2 linked regions of the Lonchura striata genome follow. The protein of the gene in region 2 purifies or fractionates together with the protein of the main gene of each other region. This does not show direct contact. Links are inferred from orthologs where the notes say so. Each region holds a gene or a part of one and is shown on either strand. Other genes may lie near its edges.

Evidence for each region.
Region 1: the proteins of XPO1 (region 2) and RCC1 purify together in Homo sapiens (affinity purification with mass spectrometry; 3 studies listed by BioGRID and IntAct, with this or other methods). This does not show direct contact. The link is inferred for Lonchura striata from reciprocal best matches to the Homo sapiens genes XPO1 and RCC1.

Annotation. Positions count from the first base shown.
Region 1 is NC_134628.1:104,629-111,781, forward strand, and holds the start of RCC1 (regulator of chromosome condensation), read right to left. Parts: upstream 3,022-7,153; 5' UTR 2,933-3,021; intron 2,732-2,932; 5' UTR 2,688-2,731; intron 2,606-2,687; exon of another isoform or gene 2,401-2,605; intron 2,260-2,400; 5' UTR 2,218-2,259; intron 39-2,217; exon of another isoform or gene 18-38; intron 1-17. Other genes in the region: PHACTR4 (phosphatase and actin regulator 4), read right to left, coding at 4,524-4,539, 5,125-5,201, 6,089-6,226, 7,018-7,079. UniProt on the Homo sapiens protein: Guanine-nucleotide releasing factor that promotes the exchange of Ran-bound GDP by GTP, and thereby plays an important role in RAN-mediated functions in nuclear import and mitosis.
Region 2 is NC_134605.1:25,060,032-25,067,039, reverse strand, and holds the start of XPO1 (exportin-1), read right to left. Parts: upstream 3,021-7,008; 5' UTR 2,897-3,020; exon of another isoform or gene 2,882-2,896; intron 2,686-2,881; exon of another isoform or gene 2,360-2,685; 5' UTR 2,304-2,359; intron 1,762-2,303; exon of another isoform or gene 1,646-1,761; intron 1-1,645. UniProt on the Homo sapiens protein: Mediates the nuclear export of cellular proteins (cargos) bearing a leucine-rich nuclear export signal (NES) and of RNAs.

The DNA.
Region 1 (7,153 bases), on a different chromosome or scaffold from region 2:
CCGCCGCGCTCCCTCACCGTCCGCCGGGCCGCCGCGCTCCGCTCTGCGCCTGCGCGCCGCGCCCGCGCCGCGCCGCGCCCCCTGGCGGCCGGCGGCCCCCGCGCCGCCCGCAGGCGGCGGGACGGGACGGACGGGACGGGGACAGGGGGACAGGACAGAGGGACAGGAGCGTGGGATCGGGACAGGGGGACAGGACAGAGGGACAGGAGCGTGGGATGAGGACAAGAGGACAGCTGGATAGGACAGGATGGAATGGGAGGACAGAAATACGGACGAGACAGGGGGATGGGATGAGGACAGGCAGTACAGGACGAGGGGACAGAAAGACAGAGGGACAGGCAGCACAAGGCAAGGCTCGCGGTCGGCAATACGTTAGCCCCCAGACAATAAATCTGTAACTCATCCTGCTCCTAACCTACAGAGATGCTGCCAGCCTCCGAGGCTGCAGCCAGCTGTGATGGAACAGAGCTGCTGCAAAAAAACTCAGTAATTACACGCGCAGAACAACGGTAAGAGAGTACTGAAATCCAGCAAGTCCGAGCTACCATATTTTCCAGCAACCTACTGCTGCATTAAGTGGAAAATACACTTTTACTCTTGGAACAGGAACTAGACCAAACTTCTCAGGCTAACAGGAAGACAGGGAACTTTCAAATTTTCCCTTCATCCAATGTGATTACCCTTATTCCACTAATTCTGCTGTTCCAGTCCAGAGGCCTGCATTTGGCCGTAACAGCTTTTACTAATAAAATGATGTTTCTAATTAACATCTTGGCTGGTACAGCAGCCTCATCTGCTTATCGACAGTGATTCCAGGGGTCACCCACAACCCATGACCGGAAAAGCTTCGAGGCATCACCATCGATTTATTTATTCCAGGCCCATGTGGAGCTTTGATGAACAGATACACAGCCACCCCCTGATCCTTTCCCGGGGGACTGCGCAGCCAAGGACAGGACGTCTGGCCAACTGCTGATGCCCATTCCACCCACCCCACACCAGCACTTCCCCCAAACCCACCCCACTCCCCTTTCCAAGGGAAGGGGAAACCCTGTAATGCCCTGCCCGGCTTCCCCCCACAAGCTACACCCCGGGGTAACAGACGCCATCAACCCCTTCTTGACTCAGCCCTTAATATGAAGCGTTTTCTTCCCTGAGATAATCCAAATCCGGATTTAAATTACGAATCTGCTTCCCAGTCCAGCCCCAAGAGTGCCACAGAGCATTTCTGCATCATTTACTTTGAGATTGGTCAGCACCAAACAAGAATTGTATTTCCACGCAAGAGGCACCACGCCGAGCATTAAGTTTTCATTAATATTCAGATCATTCACCAAAAACACACAGCAAGCCAAAGCTAAATTCAGTTTATTGTTTTGTCTACTGTATACAGGTACAGATTTACAAATAGAGAGAGAGCTGTATTTCAGGGCCTGAACACACAAACTGCTTCCACTCACATCCTATATACGTCGGAATCAGCAAGGTTGGCAAGTGCAGCCGCAGGAGAGCACACGCGGTATCTCCTTAACCCTTACGATCCCCCCCACTCCCCTTCCCCAGTTTTAAGCATCCCAAAAGCAGCTCTTTGCTGGACCAGCCAACCCCTCACGCCGGGAATTGTCCCTCCTTCCCGTGCAGCTTACCCATACCGCGTGCACCTCCAGGCCCTGATCCACAAAATCCAGGAACTGCGCTCCAAGGACGTGTTTTATAAAACCACTGGATTTATACATCCTTGGTTCCACCACGTTTTGATTTCTGTGGCTACGTTTTAGTCACACGTAGTGCACTAACAGTACTCGGGCAACTACCTAATTTGGGCACTCTTTAATATACTCACCCCTCTTCCACGGATTTTTCCTTGTTACTTCACCCCAGCAGTTTCTGCAATATTCTAGGAAAAATAGAGCGTTTTTTTCCTGCCTGTTCCTCGTGTCCCACAATACAGCAATTGTGTTTTAAGTTTAGTACACAAGTTTATCTCTAGCCATTTTTTTTCCTGTTTGCCAAGATTCATGATGGCTTTTTTTTTTTTTCCCCCTTCGAGACTCAGGAGTTTCTTTTCCCCATCCATCCAAAATCGAACACCATCATCGAAGCTAGAAGCCTGCGATCTGAACTGACATTACTACCGGATTGGGATTTTATTACTGTCCCATTTTTTTAGAAACATCTTTGCAACTACACACAATATTACATTTTAAACGCAATTACCTTCAAAAATCGTGTTTTACTCCAACTTTTCCGATATTGGCACTGGAAATAATGAAAAAAAAGGTACTTTAAGAATTTCTCAGGTGCTTGTGTTTTTCTGTTTCTCCCTCCCAGCTCCGCATGTGTTCACCGTCCCACCCCGCGTGTCAGTGTATTATCAACAGTTTCTAACCGATTTTTAAGAAGTGTTTCCTGCATGGTTTGTCTCCTCTGTAACGGCCCAAGGGCTCAGAGAAGAAGTAGGAATATGCAGGCTGCAGGCTCGGGGCCCGGCTTGCTCTCCAACGTCGTGGAAAGGGACTGTACGTCACGGGCCCGAGGGCCTGCGCTCCCGTGCGCCACACGGACAGAGCCGAGAGAGAGCGACTTCTCCGGATATCCACGTTGGACCTTTACTTTTAACTTTTATAACCATCCTGATCCCCCCAGGCCCCCGCGCGTCCCAGGCCACGGCAAGCATGGATACTCACGCTGCAGCGGGCCGCACAAACCAAGCTTGAAGAGACTTTGGAACCTGTGGGAAAAGAAAATGGCTGTGAGGGGCGGCTGAGGTAGCGCCGCAGCACCCGCAGCCACGTGTAACTCACGGCGTAGTTTAGCGTTAAAACCAGGATGGAGCGGGCATCCGCTGACAGCGCAGGACCTCACACCACAGCAAGAAAAGGGATTTAAAGGGTAAAAACGGCAAAAAGGGTAAAACTAAATGGCACCTCACCTGTCAGCTCCGCCGCTCCCCACGGTGAAAAAGGCCGAGCCTCGCCGCGCGGCGTTTTTTATAGCGCGCGGGGGCGGGGCCGAAACCCGCGCAGGCGCGTCAGGCGCGAGCGGCGGGGACACACCGTGTATGGGCAGAGGCGCCGGGGCCGCCGCGCCGCGGAGGGCCGGGCCAGCCGCGCCTGCGCAGCGGCCGGCAGGGCGGTTGGCGCACGCGCAGTCGGAAGGGCGCGAAAAGCCTGAGGGGAGGCGCCGCCATGGCGGACCTGCCCCCCTCCCCCTCAGGAGCCCCGGTCAGGCTCCTGCTGAGATCAGCTGAAAAGACACGGCTGCACAAGCAGGGTTTAAGAAAAAGAATTCTAAAATACTTTTATTTAATAATTAAAATCTGTTGTTGCGGAGACTGATATACAATGTAATGGCGGCTGTACAGGGGATGCTGTGAGGGAAGAGCCCCCAGCGGCTGCTGGGCCATAGCCGGCGTGTTGCCACGCTGGTCTGTGAGCAAGACAGAGTTCTTCTCTCCCTCCCGCCCTCCCGCACAAGTGACATCTCACCGATAGTTTAGTTTTGTGCATAATACAGCAGTGGCCCTACCGGATTTTTTTTTTTTTCAACCCGCATTGAGGAAGAATTTTTCTCTCAGAAGAGAAATACCATCTTTTTAAGGTCACTTTTTAAACCTATTCTTCCCCTCCTTTTGATCCACACAGTGAAACGATCAAATTTCCAGTAGGTTTAGCTGTAAAAATGAGAAAAAGGCAACCTTCAACCCTGATTTGGGAGAGTAAAAAACATTTGAGAGAAAGCCACAATAAAAAGGACTGACTACTCTCACAGTTTCTCCTAATTAAAAAGTTTTAAAAAGGCAACAGTCATTGTTCCTGGTTCTGTAATTTGTTAAACAAGCCTAAATATCTCTGGATCTGTTATTAAGATCAGAGCAAGTGTGAGAGTGCAGAGCATTTACACATATGTTGGGTTTTTTTCTTTTTTTTTAACAAAAAGATGCAGCATATGTTAATATCTATACAATTCCCTTCCAGGACAACAAACCGTTGGTCAGTAGTGATTCAGGGCATTAACGACTTGACAGAAAAGAAAACCTCACAAAAACCACCGAGTGCCATGTCAGCCGTCTGCCAGGGTTCTCTGTACACAGCTAATATACACATACATGCTTCTGAGCACATGCTCTCCTCAGCTTCCCAACCTTAGAGCTGCCTTTGTTTTTAATCTCCCTTCCTCACAGAAAGGAGGAGGAAATGAGGAATTGCTCTCCCCAAGACAAGTCTGTACAGCTTGGGAAGGAAGGGGTCCTTCCCCTGGACACGGTCTCCTGGCAGAGTCATATTGCTGAGCCACGTGAGGTATAGTGTCAGTTCCAGCCTGATGGCATGAGAGATGTGTTTGCTCCAGTGAAATGCTACATTCAGACAGGATTCCCCTTCCCTGGCCAGAAGCCCTTTTCTGGATATGTTTGGAAGGCAAATCTTGGAAGAGCTGAGGTTCCACCCTCACTGTATTGCCTCAGAGGGGGATGCAGAGAACTCTTCCAGCCCTCCCAGGTTTCTTGCTCCCTCCTTGGAATATTATGGTCGATGGTACCTGAAAGCAAGGAAAAAATCTGAGTGTTATCTTTGGAACTCAGGTTAAATGGTTACTTGGGCACTGTAGATGGCCAAAGAGAGTGTATTGAATTATCTCAGAACTCTCAGCCCTCAGGAAAGCTGTGAACATCAAATAATTTCACCTCCTGTGCTCTGCACTCAACTTTGCCACACAGAGCTGGAAGGAAAGGAATCATTTAGGCTATGATCCAGACCTGACTACACAGATTACACCCAAGGTAACTCATTAGCAAGTTGTTTTGTGGCTGTGGCTGCACATCTCTAGCCCCAGAAAAGCTCACTCCATCTGCAGCTTCACACTAGTTTCAGATACACCTCAATCTAGACACTGGTCACTGAGCCATCAGGATGGAAGCCCCAGTTTAAGTAAAAACAACCCACTTTGTGTCTGCTGCTACTCCAGTCACCCCCCAGGACAGGGACAGAAAGGGACATTCAATCTCCAACTGCTGCACAAATAATTTTTCTAAGGTTGTAGTGTTTTGCCACTGAGCACTGTCCTTGCAGCACAGCTCTGACAGGTCTAACAAGACCAAAACTTTTTATATTAATACATTCTCACCTCGTGAACTGCTTGCTCTCCTCATGCACTTCCATTTCACAGCTCTTAAACTCATTCAGCTCCTTCCTGATGGCTGCCTGCACAGAGAGGGAGATTTTTTTGGAAAGGAAAGGGCTCAGATTCCAGCAGCCACCCCAGCTTTCACAGTCCATTAAGACCAAGCTGAATTTAATCTGCCCCTCCCCGACGAGTCTGGGCAGTCCCCAAAGGTGGCCTGGGAGAACAAGGACAGATGTTCCCCGCCAGTTTGAGCCTGCAGGGAGCTGCACTGCTATGACCAATACTCAGTACCCCTGCTGTGTTGAGAAAAGAGAATGGGACTGGGGAAGGGTCCGAAGCACCAAGAGCAGCTGGGTGAGGTGGGGGCCTGAGCCCGCAGAAAAGAAGGTGCAGGGAGGATCTTCTCACTCTCTACAACTCCCTAACAGGAGGGTCAAGACAGCTGAGGTTGGTCACTTCTCCCAGGTAACAAGTGACAGAACAAAGGGAAACTGTCTCAGGTTGAGCCAGAGGAAGTTTAGATGAGATACAAGGAAAAATGTCTTCATAGAAAGGGCTGTAGTAGAATCACCATCCCAGGAACTGTTCAAAAATGTGCAGATGGGGCACCTGGGAACATGATTTACTGCTGAACATGATGGTGCTGGGTAAACAGCTGGACTCCATCATCTTCAAAGGCTTTTCCAACCTTAACGATTCCATGATATTATGATTCTTACATCACTCAGAAGCTGAGGCAGAAGCCTTTCAGACTGTGCCCACCAGGGCTCCCACCTTGCCATGAGGCAGCAGGAAGCAGACCTGGGACAGCACATGCAAGTGAAAGCACACACATGGGGTGGCAGAGGGAAAGATGAGGAGGTGAAGCCAGAGGAACAGAGCAAATCTCCTTGGCTCACACCCGTTTGTGTGGGTCACCCTGGTCTGGCTCCTTTTCCCATGTGGGGACAGGACACTCAGTTACCTTGTCAGCTGGTGTCAGCTTTGTCCATGGCTTATCTGCTCGCCGGTCATAGTCCTGGGCATCTGTTACTTCCACATATTCATTAAACCTCAGGATCTTCCTAGCCTGCAGCTCTGCCACTGTAGGCCTTTGGCTAAGCTGAACACCAGGAAAAACAAAGGAGGTTAGTCTGAGCCTTGTCCACAAAGCAGGTCCAGGACTAAGCACCCCAAGCAAAACTAGAACTGGTTCCCTCACTGTGCCTTAAGCACGGACACTACCAGATCCTGTGTGCAGCCTGCAAGGGGATAGGTAAACCTCTTACAGACTGGATACTTTCACCAGGATCACAAAACCAGGCTAGGGCAGAACCTGGGCCACACTGTCATGAAGAAAGACACTGAGGAGTGTGGGAACAGCTGCTACAAAGGTGAGCCCTGCATGACGCCCCTAAACACAGCTTCAGCAATGGCAGCACTCACACTTCACACCCACAGGCCTTGGGGAAGCTTTTCCCAGCCATGAGCAACAATCACAAGTAACCTGGATGTAACAGCTAAAAGCAGCTGCTACTCTGCTCAGCTCCCACATTGCAGTTCCTTTAGAAATGGATTTTAGGGAGCCTGGTGTCAAGTGGTGGCTGCTGAAACACCGTGTTAAAGCAGCCAGGCCAGCAAACCTTAAAAGTATCAGGTACCAAATTTAGTTCTCATCTTGCTTGTTACACTCGCTGCCAGGTCAGATCCGTCACTGACAAAAACACGGCCCCGGTGCCAATGGTTCACGGTGGGTGACAGTCCACATTCCAAAGTCACTGCAGTCCGAGGGCACTGGGGACACTTACACAAGAGCCCTGTGACTTCGCCCACAGCACGGTACCTACAACGTGCTTGCTGCCACCATGCCCAGCAGCCCTGCCAGGTGGCTGTCACCGTGGGAGCCAGCAGTACCTTTCTGGTCAGCCGGCGCTTGATCTCGCGCTTCTCAGCTTGACGGTCAGCTTCATTTTTCGCTGCCAAGGGGGAAAAAAAAGCGTTTTTCATGTAAGCATCAGGCTTTGAAAAGTGCTTTCTAGGCTTGAACAAA
Region 2 (7,008 bases):
GAGCAGGACAAACCTGTGCCTCAACCCTAGTAATTACTAATTAAGTGAAAGTTTTACTGTACCATACAGACAAGGAAAATCTTTTGTTTGGAAATGTGCATTTGCAAGTAGTGTCAAGGAATTTCTGTTACTTCTATATATAAGGATAGCTTTGAACCCAAATATTCTAATTGTATTTTCAACTAGAAAACTCAGTATTACTACACTAACACAACCATTTCAAGAGCTTCATCTCAACATCCAATCAAGTCTTCTTCCATGTTCCCACAAAACCAGGAGAAAACAAATATCGATTAGGGAACAAAATAAGTTAAAATTAACACTCCATGTCTATTCCTCCCTCCTTCAACTCCTAATGTTTTCAAAATTGCTATGTTAACTTGGGAAGCGAAAAACATAGCAGCAGAAAAGGCTGACTTCATTCTTCATTCCACTCTTTTGGCTCAGGAGGACTGAAAATGTCACCTGGCAAATGAGAGCCAGTGAGCAGCACCACTAGAAGGAAACTGCACCCATGAAGAGGCTCAGAGCAGTTAATGCTCCCAGGCACGCCCCTTTTTGTCCACACCTGGCCTCCATGGCTGAGCCGGGATAGCGGTTTCCGAACTACAATAAATGTCGTGCACCAGTCGCTCCTCAGGTAGGGCCATTCATTTCAGACTTGAGCCTCTTTCGGCGGTTTTCAGGCCACCCCGAGAGCGCCAAGGAGGAGCAGCGTGACCGAGAGAAGTTATTCAACACATGGAAGCAGAAAGGAAATGTTTTGAATAGGGCCCTTCGCCACTCCCAGCATTATCTTCAATATGACCTACCTACTTCGCCAGCCGAAACACAGAAATGGCGGCTTTGTGGCCACCACCACCTGCAGCCAACTCGATCTCCCAGTCCTAACCCTTTACCCACATGAAGCTTATAATCTCTGATTTACTATACTCCTACACTTTTCCCTCCCCCATCATGCTGAACTCCGGAACACATTTAAGCCTCATCTCTAAGAACCACCAGTGATCAGTCCTTCAATAAATGAGCAAACAGAAGCAGAAGAGAAAAAGTTAAAAAAAAAACCAAAAAGCAAAAACCAAACCAAAAAAAAAAAATTTCGACTACAACACAGCAAGAATGTGACATCTACCGAAGGTCAAAAGAACTGCATTAACAGCACTGTTTACACAGTTATCCCAACTCTCGATGACCCTGGACCTTTAACACAACAGTTAGCTTGTTGTGGTACACCCGATTCATTTTGGCCCGTAGCACACAGGAATAACAGCAGGCACTTAATAGTGAGAAATGTTGAGCATTTACCATGAATCCTACAGCAGCACCCTTTAACCCAGATATTTAAAGCTCACTGAGGGCAGACTAAAAAAAAAAAAAAAAGCAAACCCACCCTGGGAGAGTCACTATGCCCCATTTCCAAGCACGCAATGCAAGTGAATTTCCTCCCTCTTCCAAGGAATTAGCTGCACCACTTGTAAAGCCCACCCAGGAGGGGTGAGTGGCTATGAAACGCAGCGCACGACAAACGCGTTCGCATCACGCTCCACACACCAGCAATGGCAACGAAACCGCCCCTTCCCTTTGCTCCTTCACACACACACACGTGAAGAAGGACGAGACGGATTAAGCAACATCTGACCGACACCTCGGAGCGTTCATTTTCGGCTGGAAATAACCACCCAGCGCCGCGGCCTTCCCCGGCTCCTGCCGCAGCGCCCCTGGGCGGGCAGCGCCCAGCTCTCGGGTAGCCGCTCCCGGCTCCGGCCGGCGGGGCACCGGCTCCCGGCGGGGAAAGGGCCCGGGGCTGGGTCGGGCGGGCCGGGGCCCTGCGGAGCGCGGTGGCCCCGCAGCCTCCCCCTCCCTCCTCCCCCTTCTCCCCTGAGCTCCAGCCCTGCGCGCTATACAGGGCTCCCCACGTGATCCAGGCGGACGTTTCAATACTGCTGCACAGAACATACACACAAAAAATATTTCTGGAAACTTCCACTCCTAATAATTTACAGATTATGTCGCCGGGTTTGCCCGTACCCGATCCCAGCCTGCCCGGGCCCCTCCTAACGAGGAGCATCCCCCGCAGCATCCGTGGCTGCGCTCGGCCAGGCCGGGGATGCTCGTACCCCAAACCCCATCCGAGCGCACCCCCGCCCCTCAGGGCTTCTCCACGGGGTCCATCACATCTCTCCTAGCATAGGCCAGGCACTGGGGCCCCCTGCACGGGCACATCCCCCCGTTCTGCCCCTCAAAATACCCCCCTTTGCCCCCTCCGCGTTGCCCATCGCGACACCCCCACAACCCTCGCTTACCTAGGGGTTTCTCACAGCCTCTTCCTTCAGAAAGTAGGGGCGAGCGAGCCAAGTTTCTAACCACCACACACCACAAGAAAAAAAAAAAAAATAAAAAAAGACCACCAAAAATAATCCCTTCCCAAAATGAAGAAGAAAAAATAAAAAGACCACGGAAGGAGGGAAAAAAAAAAAAAAACAGCGCGGAAGGAGGGAAAAAACCACCACGGCAAGAGGTGGGGGGGAAGGCGAGCGCTCCCTCCTCGGTGGTGGGTCGGGGTTAGTGGCGCCACTCCTCCCCTCGCAGCGTGCCCGGCCTGGCTGCACCAGGCGCCCGCAGCTGCCCCCGGGGCTCCGCGCTCGGCTCCGCGCCTTCCCCACAGCCCCGGGAAAGCGGCCGGCGCGGCGCTCCGACCTCGCTGTTGTGGGGGGATCTCTACCCGGCTGCGCCTCCCGCGCCGCCCAGGCCCGGCCCCGCCGGCTCTCGCTGCCCCTGCGGCTGCCGCCCTCCCCGCCCGGCGCTCAGTTCGCCCCCATTCCCGCCACCCCCCCCCCGCGGCTCGCACTAAACTTCGCCCCCTCAGCTACAGGTCCCCTACGAGCAGGTCACACACGCGGCGGCGGCGACGGGGACTGAGCGCGGCGCGTCTCCCCCTCCTAATGCCACAGGCACGGAACCGGCTCAAACCGGTTCAGACTGGGAGATTCCATCTCGGTTTAGTTTTCAGCCCATGGCGCCGCGGAGCGTTTGGAAACCTCGGGGGCCCCGCCCAGCCGCCGCTCCCATTGGCTCCGGGATGTGCCGCCGCGAAGGCGGCCGCCACGGTGATTGGTCAGACGGGCTGTCAATCCGCTGCGCGGCTCGGATGGGCGGGGGGGCGAGGGGCGGCGGAGGGGGCGAGGGGCGGGGGGGCGGCGGGGAGGGGAGTAGAGGGGACCCGCCCCCTCTCCAGCAGCGCTTTGAGCGCTAAGGGGGGGAATGCCGCTCCCCGATAGGCCGAGCCGCGCTGTCACTCAGGGGCGCCCTGCCTCCGTGCTCGCAAAGCGCGGGCGCAGGCCTGGCCGCGCTCTCATTGGCCGGCGGCGGTGGCGGCATGACGCGCGCGCCTGAGCGCGGCTTTCGGGGCTGCGGCGGGAGGGGGCGGGAGCGGCGCGGCCGTTGGGCGCCCCCGGGCGCGTGCATGAGGCGCAATGGCGGGAGCGGAAGGGGGTCGAGCACCATCCCGTTCGCGCTGAGGCGCCGCTTCCGAGGGAGATGGGGCACCCTCCGTGTGGGGGCTGTGTGGAATGGCGGGCATTACCCTACAGGTCCCTCCCTCTCTCTGGGAGGGAGTGGAGTGCAGCAGAATATCTCAGCTGTAGAGTGGGCCCTGTGAGCAGCAGGGGCACCAGCCCTCGGTGGGTGCTTGCTGTCCCCTACCCCAGCAGTCCTATGCTCTCCACCAGAGCCTGTGCAGAGTGCGAGGGCGGTGTGTGTCCCCTCCTTTACGGTGCCTCTGTCCATGGCATGTCCAGCTTCCTGCAGCTGCCCTCCAAATTGTGCTTCAGGCAAGGCTGGCTTTAGACTTAGCGAAATATCGAGCTGTGTGAGGTGTAGTAGGAAACCAAACGTGAACAGGGGTGATTCGGAGATTTTCTGTGGCGGCACAAGCTTGGCATGCTGTGGTTGCTCATCTCATTGCTGCCTGAAGGAGTAGAGGACGTGCTTGCCAACTTCCACATGGAAAAGCTCCTACCAGTGAATGTACTCTGTGCCTACAGATGCATTTTTCAGTTTTAACCCTCATTTGAAAAACCCTTAGCTATAGAAGCTTATTACTCACTTCTGTGAGGAGGCTACTATTAGGAAGTATTTAATTTCCCTTCTCGAAACAAACTTTATTTTCTATCTCTTCAAGCAGTTACTTTGTTTTTGGGATGGCATTACACTGGTCTGTGAAGCTTGTTATAGGAGTGATACTTTTGATTTGTGGAATGCCCTCTGGATGATTTCCAAAGGAAACTCTGTATAGATTTGCTGAGGCGTTGTTTGCCTGTGCTATGGCTAGGAGTATGGAAGGGATGCTAAGCACTTTTGCACAGTTTTAAAACACACACAAAAAAAAAATGTTATGTGGTGTGTAGACTGCTCAGGCATAGTGTCTAAGTTACATCTGGTGTGAAGTTTGTATCTAGCAGGAAGATGCTGTGCTGTTGCTAGTAAGTCATAAGAAGGACACTTAACTATATTTTTGAAGCCTTTGTTGGCTTTCTGACTTCACAGATAGTGTGTGCTCCACCATGTAGCTGCTGGATCAGGCTCAAAACTATTTTTTCCCATAGGATTTTTTTTAATCCATACCTTCTGTGAAATGTATCAGTTTAAAGTTAGGCATCTGTAGTCATCCCCAAAAGATTGCCAGTGCGATGAAAACCATATAAACAAATACAATTGCACATATTTACAGTGTTCTGATTGCCTGACCAGTTCTAGAAGTGCTGTGGGGATTCCAGTTCCTCAATCTTCATTTTGTGGGTGTGTGTTATGTGATTTTTTTTTTTTTTTTTTTTTTTTTACTGCATTTCTGGGAAAGCTGGGGAAGTCTTGTACTCAAATGCACAATTGTGTTTTGGGCAGAATCTCAGAGGATGCAAGGTGGTGTGGTGCCAAAAAAGATCCTGTGTGATGTAATACTGCCTTAATGTGATGTATTGCTGCACTTAATTCCTCAGTTAAGTTTCTTGGAAAAACTGCAGAATTTAAGGCTTGAAGAGCTGGAATTTTTTTATTATGCCTAAAAGGAACTGCATCCTGTTAACATCTGTGTCAGAGTGGTAACAGTGCTTTGTTTATTTCAGCTTGTTTGTTGCTCTGGGGGCTTGGCCTTAGCAGAGTGACTGTAATCGAAGGTAGCACTGAAGCTACTGGGATTGCATTTGAACGTGGTTCCAGTAGAATGGATGGCATAGCGAGCTGTTGCTGGGTTAAAAGCAGGGCTGTAACTCTAGCACTTAGAATAAACAGTCCCTATGTGTGTTTTGATGTTTTAGCTAGCTCTGGTGTTCAAAACAAACTGATGTAAGAGACCAAAAAGTCAGATTCTTTTAACTCCTTCTGCTTGTGCAGAAGGTTCACTTCTATTTTCTTAGTGTGTATATGCATGTTAGAAGCAATTGTTTAAATCATTAAATCAGTTTGTTAAATGAATGTTAACTATTTTGAGAGTGGATGCAGTTTCACAATTTCATCAGGTGTTGGTAATGCCCAGATTGCAATGTGGTTTTAATAAATTGCAGGAGTAACAAACACAGTGGGGGTTGGCTCTGCCAGTTTGTTTGCTAAATCCTGTGCTTGAGTAGGGGAGAGTTTTTGCCTCATCACTGTTATCTCAAATAACACATTAAATTTTTTTTAGAAATAGCTTTCCTATCTTCCTGCAAGCTGTGCTCTGGGAAAACTGAACTCTTCCCACCTTCCTTCTGTAAGGAGCCAGGTGAAGGCTGCTTCAGGAACTCAGGGCAGGCAGTAAAAAGCAGCTGTTTTAGCAGGATGGGTGTATCTGATCACAGCTTTTCTCCCACACATGCTATCAGGAGCTGTTGTAAGCTTGTGCTTGCTGTTTTGTTGCCACTGTTCCATGTTTGATGTCTCCTTTATTAGCTGTTCAGTCTGGTATTTCAGCCTTGCTGGAATCAATAGAAAAATTTGCTTGGGTTTCAGGTCAGCAGTGTGGCCTGGTAGTGATAAAAGCTATCTGCACACTAGGCTGGATCAAAAGGAGCAGAACCAGGACATCAAGTGAAGTGATTCTTTCTCTCTGCTGGTCACTCAGCAGCTGCATGTGGCACACCATGCCTGAGCTTTGGTCCGTCACTACAAGAAAGATGTGGAAAGCCCTGTGCAAGTCCAACAGGGCCCATCTTCAAGGTGGAGAAGGGGCTGAGGGAGCTAGGCTTCTTCAGCCTGGAAAAAAAAAATTGGTGAAGGGAGACCCAGTAGCACAAACCAAAGCAGGGAGTGGGTACCATATGGGCAGAATTAAGTAACTGAGCTTTTGGGATCTATTTGTTCTTCACAGGGGCTCTACAATTTGTGGGAGTTAATATTTTTTTTTAATGCTTTTCTAATCCCTGTTCAGGGGTGATGGGATGGGCCACCAAGATCTGAGAGTATCACAAAATAAAGGTAATGTGGATAGGCAACTGATGCTTGTTAACTCTCTCCCTGAAGTTAGCGAGCTCTTCCTTTTACTCTTTTTACTAAAGAGGTTTTTTTCTTTACTCTTTAAAGCTTTTTATTTGTTTTTGGATGCTCTTCCTGTAAATTTGCTTTAGCAGAACATCTTCTTTAGCTGTGGTCAATTTGGTTTTTCAGAACCAGAATGACTTTCTTGGGTGGTGTGTCAGCATTAGGGGTTGTGCATCTGGGAAAGCTGAGGGAGGAGCTATAAAAATAAGAGAAAAATACCATGTTGGTATCATAATTTCTTGGCCGGTAAAGTAGGACTTGTAAGTGGAAAGAGCAGGGAAGAGAATAAAATAGAGCTGAGGAAATAAGGCAAAGACAAGGCAGGTGTTGGTGAGCCTGAAGTGAAAGGAATGAGGCATTCAGAGGAAATTGCCAGCTGTAAATTTTCAAGGCTGTCTGGGCAACACACAACTGAAACAATCTGTTAATGTCGAGTGTCACTCTAAACAGCTCCAGCCTCCACCTCATCCTTCAGGAAAGGCTCTTTCCCCATCCGTG